Arabidopsis thaliana: one gene and its partner. The protein of the gene in region 1 interacts with the protein of each later gene in a biochemical or structural test. Each region holds a gene or a part of one and is shown in the gene's direction. Other genes may lie near its edges. The genes, in order: AXR3 and TIR1.

Region 1 (4,945 bases):
TTTATATTATTCACTGGTTTACAATTTCATGTGAATTCCATAGTGATCAGTAGATATATATATTGATCAGACAAAGTAGATACACATTGATAAAACACGACAAAATGATGTGATATATAAGACAAAGTGACCCAAAATTCGATTGAAAAATTTGGGGTACGTTGATTTGAAAACTCATGAGAGTTTTTTGGGATAGAAACAAAAGGAGAGAAAAGGGTTAAAGAGGAGGATGTAGACAAGGCAAGGAACAAAAGTAGGGTTTAAGATGTTTTCGCCCCTGAATTTTATTTGATGTAACTTGTCCCTTTATCATCTCCATGTTTTTCTTCTTCTCATTAATTTAAATTTTGGCTTTGGAATTTATGGTGATGTTAATTGTACCCTCTCTTCCTTTGGATTTTGATGCCACTCATGTCCCCTCTCATAGATTTTATTAGGGTAGGAATATGCCTTTTTCCCTCTTTATTTTCATATTTATTGAATTTACGTTGGTTAATTATGGTTAGTACGCTTGGTGTTATTTAAACGTCCCGTATTCACAGTTTACGCCTAACTGATTACTTTGAACTAAAACCAGTGTCTAGTAGATCACTAAAGTCGAATTTTGAACGAAAGTTTGAAAATTCGCAAAAGCGCCGTGAAAATACAATTCCAAAACATATCATTTTTGTTTTTGGAAGCGTGATTGATGAAATAAAAACAAAATATGTTTTGGAAGTGCGACAGAATTTGTTTTTTTGTTTAGAAATGCGATAATATAGACAAATTAATAGAAAATGTAATACAAATTTAGGTGCTTTCATAACTACAAAAAAAAAAAAAAACTACCCTATTGTTGAAAACTTTCATACTACAAGAATAACACAAGCAATATAAAAGAAGAAAAATAATTTTCAATAATCAAAAACAGACATTATATTTTAGTAGTCAATTTAATCTGTAAATATCTGTAAAGAAAATTAATCACCAATTTTATTGTTAACTACAAAGTGGTGTTTATAATATTGCAATTTATAGTTTGTTAACTACAAAGTATAAACATTAAAGAGTAATGATGCGTTTTTATGTGTCTAGATACACATTTCGCTGTACGTGTTTATAGGTGAGTTTTTAATCAATAAATATTGAAGATGTACCGTATGCTTTATTTTGTATTGGCATGAGAATAATTATATACAAGAGGGCTGCGCTTTTATTGTGGGATGAATAATTGAATCATGTGGATGTGATATGCATAATTGGAAGGTTCCGGCGAAGAATCTTACGGGGAAAAATAATCAAAATCATGAATATATATTCATTAGTTAATAATTATATTTAGAAGTCAAAAAGCATAATATAGTTATATTAATAATAATGTACATCTCTATTGTAACACTCTCATATGAGATGTCTGCGACCTCGCCACTCAAAAGAATATATATTTATAAACTATACGTTGATATAGTTTTTAAGACCATATGGTATATACATATATTTAGTTAGATACCCCATATCAATTAATCGGTTCATCACCACTTAATTCACTTGGTTGCTTCGAATGTGTTTCATAATTCACTTGTAATTTTAAAATCTTTCCTTCACTTGTGCTTTCGCTTGTAATCTCAAAATGTTATATATCTCTTTTAACGGGAGAAAAACGATTAAAGACGGATTAAAATATATATCCATTTTGTATAGTCAAATGCAATAATATATACATAATCTACAAGATAAATCATAAGAAAGATTCAATAACAGTAATAGAGTAATAACAGTGATTACTGATTAGTCTAAAAGACTAAAACTCGAGGATGATGACTTAATCAAAGGGCTTAGATTCATCCACGTGTCTAAAACCCGTTTAATCAAAGATCTCTTAAATACGACATACACATGCAGCTACCTCCTAGACAGAGATATAATACAGACTCATCTCACTTTGTATTATTTGAGTGTTTTTATAAAACCATTTTTCCATCTTCCTCATCACCTTCCCAAGAAGAAGAACACCAAAGAAGAAGAAAGGTTAATAATGATGGGCAGTGTCGAGCTGAATCTGAGGGAGACTGAGCTGTGTCTTGGTCTTCCCGGTGGAGATACAGTGGCTCCGGTAACCGGAAACAAGAGAGGGTTCTCAGAGACGGTTGATCTGAAGCTAAATCTGAATAATGAGCCTGCAAACAAGGAAGGATCTACGACTCATGACGTCGTGACTTTTGATTCCAAGGAGAAGAGTGCTTGTCCTAAAGATCCAGCCAAACCTCCGGCCAAGTAATTTTACTATTTTGTCCTTTATGATTTATTTTCCACTCTTCTCTACTGCTCTTAATATTAACATTTTTGTAAAGGTGACTGCAAAAAAAAACAGAAATTTCATTAAAGATATATATTTTTCTTCGCCAAAACCATTTTATCATATGTCTACGGTTTTTTTCTCTTCTTAAATCGTCCAATGTCTTAATATATTTAATTATGTTTAACCCATAGTCTCATGCAAGTAAAATTTATGTGACATCACGTCAAAGCTAACTACAGTCTATATCTTGTATAACATAACCGTTTTTCCGTTTTAAAAAAAATATAGGGCACAAGTTGTGGGATGGCCACCGGTGAGATCATACCGGAAGAACGTGATGGTTTCCTGCCAAAAATCAAGCGGTGGCCCGGAGGCGGCGGCGTTCGTGAAGGTATCAATGGACGGAGCACCGTACTTGAGGAAAATCGATTTGAGGATGTATAAAAGCTACGATGAGCTTTCTAATGCTTTGTCCAACATGTTCAGCTCTTTTACCATGGGTACGTTTTATAAGTATATTCCTTATATATATATGTAGATCCTTCCATGCACATTTAGTTACTAATTAATTGTTACTATAGAAAGAAAAATTAATCATCATGATGATAGATCAGTCCCAAATGAATTACCGTTATCGAGTATACAAATATTTCATAATTGAGTAACCCGTTAGTAGTAGTTTAGAAACTGTGAAAAGAAAACTATGTGATAAAATCCAATTGCGAAAAATGTATATTTCATTTGTTGCACCATAAAAGAAAACCACCAAGTTTAAATTCAGGATATCAAGTTCTTATACCTAAGATTATTTTAGGCAAACATGGAGGAGAAGAAGGAATGATAGACTTCATGAATGAGAGGAAATTGATGGATTTGGTGAATAGCTGGGACTATGTTCCCTCTTATGAAGACAAAGACGGTGATTGGATGCTCGTCGGCGACGTTCCTTGGCCGTACGTCTTCTTCTTCTCCCTTATTAATTACCATTTAATTAGAGCTTTATTGTTTCGGTTAAAATTCGAGCTTTATTTTTGTTTATGTCATTTATTTGTTTCTAATAAATAACCATTTGTTTTAATCTTTTTATTTATTAGAATGTTCGTCGATACATGCAAGCGTTTACGTCTCATGAAAGGATCGGATGCCATTGGTCTCGGTATGTATTTTCTACCAATGCATATTATATTCACATTGATTAAATTTTGATTTCAGTTTGTTACCCATTTAAATTAAAATTTACGTGTATATGTATACAATATAGTTAAAATAGCTTACAAAAGAGATTTGCCCCAAAAAGAAAAAAAAAACTTACAAAAGAGCTTAAAAGTTTACTATAATGTACACCTCAACCGCATAACTTGGTCGCCTAAATAATTTAATATGCTATCGTTTAAGATGATGTCTAATCATCAAACGCTTAAACCGTTCATTATTTTTCGCACAATTATATTTCTACCGTAAAGAACAAATTTGTCGAAAGAAAACTTATCGCTTTGATCTTTTAAATCATTGATATAATACATGATATTTGATTCTCTTTTGTCAAATGCAAAAAAAGAAAGAGATTAAATAACAGAGGGAATAAAAAATATACTCTTTTAACAGAATAAATACCGTGGTCAAATGTCTTTGCTTATTAATTGTAAAAATATTTCAGCTCCGAGGGCGATGGAGAAGTGCAAGAGCAGAGCTTGAAGTCAAATTAAAAGGATAAGTGGTATCGATTATATATTTGATTAACACATTGATTGGTGTTAATTGCTCTTTTTTTTCTTACGATGAAATACATTGTTCAGTTTCTTTTGATTGTCTGTGTTTTGATCTGGATTTGGTATGTAGATATAGTTTGTATGCTATTATGTGTAATGAACTTAAGTTAAATATTTGAGACATTTGTAATGGAAAATGTGTAATAATTTGAACATCCTATTCCTATGTATATGTTTGTCTTTATTTATTTATTTTGCCAAAGATGTGTATATTCGTATAAGGAATATGTGATTTTTATTCCACTATGGAAAATTTAATCTCACATTACTTCTCTTTAATTTCAGTCTCTTAATAGTCAGTTATTTTCTAAAGGCAGAACAGTATTCTTTTGGTTCGTCTTGAAAGTGAAACTAAAGATCATAGCGATCGAGTATTTGACCCTAAAGTAAACTTTCCCCAAGTATAATTTCGAAGTCGGTATAATTAGAATTACAATATTACAATATACATATGTTATATCAGATGAATATAATTACAAAAATGGGGAAAATTCACTTTGTTGGTATATTGATTTGTTGGTACTTAAAGTGATAATTGGCTTTGGTTGGAGGAAATAAAATAGAGAAATAGGACCCATAGGGAAGAGAGGGAGCAATGCCATGTGCATATTCATGGGTCTCTTCATTTCATTACCTTTGTTTATCATTTAATTTCCCATTAAATTAATTAGGAATATTAACTTTTATACCAACTAAATTTATTAACAAGGTTATCATAATTATACACAAATATCCTCTCTATAATGAAAAATGAAAAACCACTAGAAATATGGAATTACGTTGTATCCTTTATCACTTTCAGAAATGAGCTACAAGTAATTTATTATTGTCAAGAGATTGCACATGTGTAAAACTTGAAGGTAAAAGACATATATATGCAATAAAATATAGATATATA
Region 2 (6,134 bases), on another chromosome or scaffold:
GATTGGGAGGGACACGAAATAAGAAAGCGAAGATATAAGAAATATAATTGGTCAGAATTTGACAAATCATATAACGATATAGAGAAGAGAACAATATGAATAAAAATGGAAAAAAGGATGGCTTCCACTAATGGGGAAGGTCATTATAATCAAGACATAATCCAAATTAGCTTTATAAATCACGTGCCACTTTACTTGTACTTGTACACCACCTCTTCATCAATCGCATTATATATATCACTCATCATCTATCTTATATATAAACAGTAGTATTATGTAAATACTATAGTACTATGTTATTCTTTTATATATGTCCGTCCACACATGCGTACACATATTTCTATCTCACATAAACAGTAGTAGTATAATGCAGTCTGTAATATTCTCGGCTTTTAGGTACACAATTTATAATTCATTCAGAGTTGGATCTAATATCGCTGAAGAGATAATTAAAAAAATAATTAGGGAGATAATTAAGGGATAATAGACAGCAAAGAGCAAGCTAGTTTTGAGTACGAAACCCGAGACTAGGAGAAAGAAATAAGAGAGATTCGCGGGGGAGCCATGCGTGGGATTATTATTCTAATCATTTCCTTAAAAAATTCATAATCAATGACCTCTTATTATATCAGTGTAAGTTAATCCCTTTTTCTGACGACATTAAAACTTATAATTTTAAAAAAACTTAAGCGTATTACGTGCAAGACAACTCAGCTCCACACTTCTCCCATCTGACTATACTCAGCCCTCTCTTTGTTTTTTCCTAATTATCTCTTTCTTCGTTACTACCTCAATTTCTGAGCACTTGCTTGCTACATTTTTTTTTTTTAAAATCTTCGTATTTGTATGTATGTCATTATAATTTTTAGATTTTATTTTTGGTTTAAGAACTAATCAACAGTACATTCAAAAAGAAAACTAGAAAGGTGCGATATTTTAAATAGTAGTTTAAGTGGATAAACGGTCAGGATGGTATGTAATACGAAGATGATATAGAACAGTTTGATAATGTGACAAGTTTTTTTAGTTAGGGCAGGACAGACCTATCAACTCCATGCTCAGACTCTGCAAAGCCCATCATACACTGTTTCGAGAAGAAGGGCATTCTCGTCAATTCAATACCCATTTATTTTCCTCTAAGCCGTTGTACTTGCGACAGAGCCCGAAATAATTGTAGTTTTTATACGTTTATTACACCCAGACGAGGTAAATTAATTAAGAAGTAATTATTAATTTTAAAAGTCACGATTGTGTATGTATGTATGTCCGTACACTGTTAAAAAGGGGTCCCAGATCTGACGGTCGTGATTAAAATGCGACGCTGCACTTTCTTTCTTTCTTTCTTCTCTACTTTATTCAAATTTTTCAGTATCCATTCTTTCTCTCTCTTTTTTTCTTTCTCTACTCATAAAAGTTGTTCACTTTAAATTATTGGATACTTCCCTCACATTTACTCTTTTTTGTGCAATCCTTTCAATTTTAATTTAAATTATTCAGCAATCTTCAAAAACATACAAATAATGTTTTAATCCAATCTCACACGAAAACACTGATTCTTGTTATGTTAATTCATCATTCAACTCTATTTACTTCACTTTAATGCTATGAGAAAGGATACACTTTAGTTAATCAAATTTATCAATACTATATATTACTAGAAAATAGAAAATGAAACTGTGATTAGTCTTGATGGTTTATTTATGAATCCAAGTGGTGGGTAAATAAATGAACATGCAAAACTAATAATAGGAGGAGATAGATGCTCAGATTCCACATCAAAACATGATTGGACGGTTGTGATGTCATCATAAATAACAGTAATAGCTTCTTTTTTTATTGTTTTGTTACCGTCAGATCATTAGTAGTCTAGTATTTTTTTTAACATTCTGTTGTGGTCCCCGCAATTTACGGGGCTTCCCCTCATATCCAGCCGTGCATCGCGTATCATTAGATTCCCTCTTCTCCTACACCTTACCACACCCTATCATTGATCTCCTTCTCGCGCTATTTTGATAGAAGCCGCGATAAGCCGACCCCCCCTCTCCAATATCTCGTCCCGTTTTCTGCGGCTGCCCTTCTCTGCACAGTCGATAAGATAATCTCCCGCTTTCATTCAATCGGACGGCTGGTATTTGAAGCTTATAAGACACGTGTCATCATCAGAATCGACAATCACAATCACCGAAAAGGCTCACATGGATATGTTTGACCACGGTTAACTTTTAACCCAACCATGGTTGGCTTTTTTAACTTGACCTCCTTCTCCTTCCCCCTATCCTTTTCTCTTCTCTTCCCACTCTCTCTCTCTCTCTATCTATCTTCTTCATCTTTGTTTCAGCTTCTCCTTTGAAACTAGATTATCTCCGTTAATGGCGCCTCAGATCTAACCTTGGGAGTTATATATATATACTTGTTCAACTCTTCTTCGAACGCTGTCCAACTTCTTCCTCTGGTTCGATCATCGAGATCTCGAGGTTATTTGGCCGCAATGCAGAAGCGAATAGCCTTGTCGTTTCCAGAAGAGGTACTAGAGCATGTGTTCTCGTTTATTCAGCTGGATAAGGATAGGAACTCAGTCTCTCTGGTGTGCAAGTCATGGTACGAGATCGAGCGGTGGTGCAGGAGGAAAGTCTTCATCGGGAACTGCTACGCCGTGAGTCCAGCGACGGTGATTAGGAGGTTCCCGAAAGTGAGATCCGTGGAGCTTAAAGGAAAACCTCACTTTGCTGACTTTAATTTGGTACCTGACGGATGGGGAGGTTACGTGTATCCATGGATTGAGGCCATGTCTTCGTCTTACACGTGGCTTGAAGAGATAAGGCTGAAGAGGATGGTGGTCACCGACGATTGCTTGGAGCTCATAGCCAAGTCTTTTAAGAATTTTAAGGTTCTTGTGCTTTCTTCCTGCGAAGGCTTCTCCACCGATGGTCTCGCTGCTATCGCTGCCACTTGCAGGTATTCTTTTTCTGAATGTTTTTTGTTTCATCAAGAAGACTCCCTTGTGTCTCTAGGAAGAAGCTTTTGTTTGTATTAAACTTATTGGTGTGTGATTTGTATATTCATTATACTACATAAAGTCTCAATTATAGCAAATTCATGTACTTGTTATTTGATCTGGGCATATAGGTTTTGCTGCGTTGTTCCTGCTGATGTTACTCTGGTCTTTGTGAGCTTTTTTTTGGTTTGGTCAAGATTTTGCGTATCTAAAAGATATATGTTTTAATCACGTTTCTGAAGATTCTTATTATAGCCACTCTCTTTTTCTTTCTGGTGGGTCTTATTTAACGGTGGTGTATCTATTTATTCCTGGATTATTCGCTCTCAGTGAATCTCCTGAGGTGGGAAATCTAATCAATTTGGCTTTGTGTGTGTTACTTTTCTTTTTGTAGGGGACTTTCAATTTTCTTTTTTTACCTTGTTGGGAAACTTAGATCTGTTTTCGGATTCCCCTTCTTTACTCGCTTTAGCTCTGTTTTAGCATCTCTCACATTGCTTCCACGTGATAAATTTAGTAATTTGTTATTGTTCTATGCTTAGATAGTTTCCCAAAGTGATCTTTCTACATTGTATCAAATACAACTTTGGACAAATTAATGACAATTATGCTCATGTATTGTAGGCAATGTTTATGTTCTCGAAGTTGTATAATGTGGGTCACTCGATGCTAATTATGTGATTTCTTATGCAGGAATCTGAAAGAGCTTGACTTACGAGAGAGTGATGTTGACGACGTTAGTGGCCACTGGCTTAGCCATTTCCCAGATACATACACTTCTTTGGTATCACTCAATATATCTTGCTTAGCATCTGAGGTCAGTTTCTCTGCTCTGGAAAGGCTGGTGACTAGGTGTCCCAATCTCAAGTCTCTCAAGCTTAACCGAGCTGTTCCACTTGAAAAATTGGCTACTTTACTTCAAAGAGCACCTCAATTGGAGGAATTGGGCACTGGTGGGTACACTGCAGAAGTGCGACCAGATGTTTACTCTGGTTTATCTGTAGCGCTCTCTGGGTGCAAGGAATTGAGGTGCTTATCTGGATTTTGGGATGCTGTTCCTGCCTATCTTCCAGCAGTTTATTCGGTTTGCAGTCGGCTTACAACTTTGAATCTGAGTTATGCAACAGTCCAGAGCTATGATCTTGTCAAGCTTCTTTGTCAATGCCCTAAACTGCAGCGCCTCTGGGTGAGTCCATTTTAACATACATTAACACATGAATTTGGAATAGGTCATTTTACTGTATGGTATGAGAAAGCTTATGTTCATAGTTTTCTTAAAAAATTTGAATGATATAGAGCAATATATCTGAATTATAAGCATTAAAGCCTTTTTCTTTTTGTAACTGTGCTCTAACTTATTATTGACTACAGGTGCTTGACTACATCGAGGATGCTGGTCTTGAGGTGCTTGCTTCAACCTGCAAGGACCTACGCGAGCTGAGAGTGTTTCCGTCCGAGCCTTTTGTCATGGAACCAAATGTGGCATTGACGGAACAGGGGCTTGTCTCCGTCTCCATGGGCTGTCCAAAACTCGAGTCGGTTCTCTACTTCTGCCGTCAAATGACCAATGCTGCATTGATAACCATTGCTAGGAACCGTCCCAACATGACTCGCTTCCGTTTGTGCATCATTGAGCCAAAAGCCCCAGACTATCTGACTCTAGAGCCACTGGATATTGGATTTGGAGCCATAGTAGAGCACTGCAAGGATCTCCGTCGCCTCTCTCTATCTGGCCTCTTGACCGACAAGGTTTTTGAATACATTGGGACATATGCCAAGAAGATGGAAATGCTCTCAGTGGCATTTGCAGGAGACAGTGACTTAGGCATGCATCATGTTTTGTCCGGGTGCGATAGCTTGAGGAAACTAGAGATAAGGGACTGCCCGTTTGGAGACAAGGCGCTTTTGGCCAATGCTTCAAAGCTGGAGACAATGCGATCCCTTTGGATGTCTTCTTGTTCCGTGAGTTTTGGAGCCTGCAAGTTACTAGGACAGAAGATGCCAAAGCTGAATGTGGAAGTCATCGATGAACGGGGTGCACCGGACTCGAGACCAGAGAGCTGCCCTGTTGAGAGAGTCTTCATATACCGAACAGTGGCTGGTCCTCGATTTGACATGCCTGGCTTCGTCTGGAACATGGACCAAGACTCAACAATGAGGTTTTCCAGGCAAATCATTACTACTAACGGATTATAAGACAAAGAAACGAGGTACATTTTTCATTAATCCTTGTTCATCATCCCATATAATCGTGTTCCGGTTTAGGAACATGAGAGAGCTCGGTCGCCAATAATTTGAATCTCGGCTGCTTCATATAACCATCAAGCTCATGAGCAATGAATAAGTGGAGAGAGAGAAAGAGAGATCTAAGAGAGCTTTGTTTTATTTATGTAAGAATTATTGATTGTTGTATGTTTATTTGGCTACTTACACTGAGAGATCCTGGTGGGGTATTTTTCTTAAGAGGATAAGAGATTTTTTTAAAAGACAATGTCAAAAATGTAACTGTTCTACTTGTTTTGTTTGGACTCTTTTATCCTTTTAAATGTTTTCTATCTCTCTCTCTCTTTGTCTTTGCCATTTCCTTTGTCCGCTTAATGAACTGTTTGCAGCCTTTTCGGTTTTGGAACAGCACCTAGTTTCGTCTCAGGTCCCTACACTCTCTTTATCACCATAATTAGAAACAAGAGAATCTTGCTCTGTGTAAAGGTCTTGGAATAGCATCATCGTCAAACGTGTGATAGGACACAATGTAATTGAACTGTTGTTTTTCATATGAAAAACAAGCTTTTTCAAATTTTCAGTTTACATGATGACTAAACACAGTAATACCATTTATATAACAGTACGATATTTTCCGTTTCAAGTGTTTTTAGGCCAAGAACAAAAATAAATAAGCAGAACACAGCCCTATCGCTCTATGGTTGGACCAATGACGGGAAAATTCAATGAAGAAGAGTTGGCTTCAGAAAATGATCACTCTGTTTCACTCACTGGATCTTGTGGCGTTGAGATTCTCCGAGTGTTGTATGAACCGCAATCACTGCACTTGTGTCCCAAAATGTGGAACATAGCTTTACTCCCCTTGTTGCAGTCATTGCAGAGAATTGAAACCTGCAGACATTTTCTTGGCGGATGT

The links.
Region 2: the proteins of AXR3 (region 1) and TIR1 form a complex in vitro, tested with the Arabidopsis thaliana proteins (one study listed by BioGRID).

What each region holds. Positions count from the first base shown.
Region 1 is NC_003070.9:1,134,368-1,139,312, forward strand, and holds AXR3 (AUX/IAA transcriptional regulator family protein), read left to right. Parts: upstream 1-1,710; 5' UTR 1,711-2,014; coding exon 2,015-2,253; intron 2,254-2,566; coding exon 2,567-2,778; intron 2,779-3,092; coding exon 3,093-3,231; intron 3,232-3,372; coding exon 3,373-3,434; intron 3,435-3,935; coding exon 3,936-3,973; 3' UTR 3,974-4,296; downstream 4,297-4,945. UniProt on the Arabidopsis thaliana protein: Aux/IAA proteins are short-lived transcriptional factors that function as repressors of early auxin response genes at low auxin concentrations.
Region 2 is NC_003074.8:23,272,536-23,278,669, reverse strand, and holds TIR1 (F-box/RNI-like superfamily protein), read left to right. Parts: upstream 1-2,039; 5' UTR 2,040-2,488; coding exon 2,489-2,955; intron 2,956-3,688; coding exon 3,689-4,181; intron 4,182-4,366; coding exon 4,367-5,191; 3' UTR 5,192-5,605; downstream 5,606-6,134. Other genes in the region: AT3G62970 (zinc finger (C3HC4-type RING finger) family protein), read right to left, coding at 5,972-6,109. UniProt on the Arabidopsis thaliana protein: Auxin receptor that mediates Aux/IAA proteins proteasomal degradation and auxin-regulated transcription.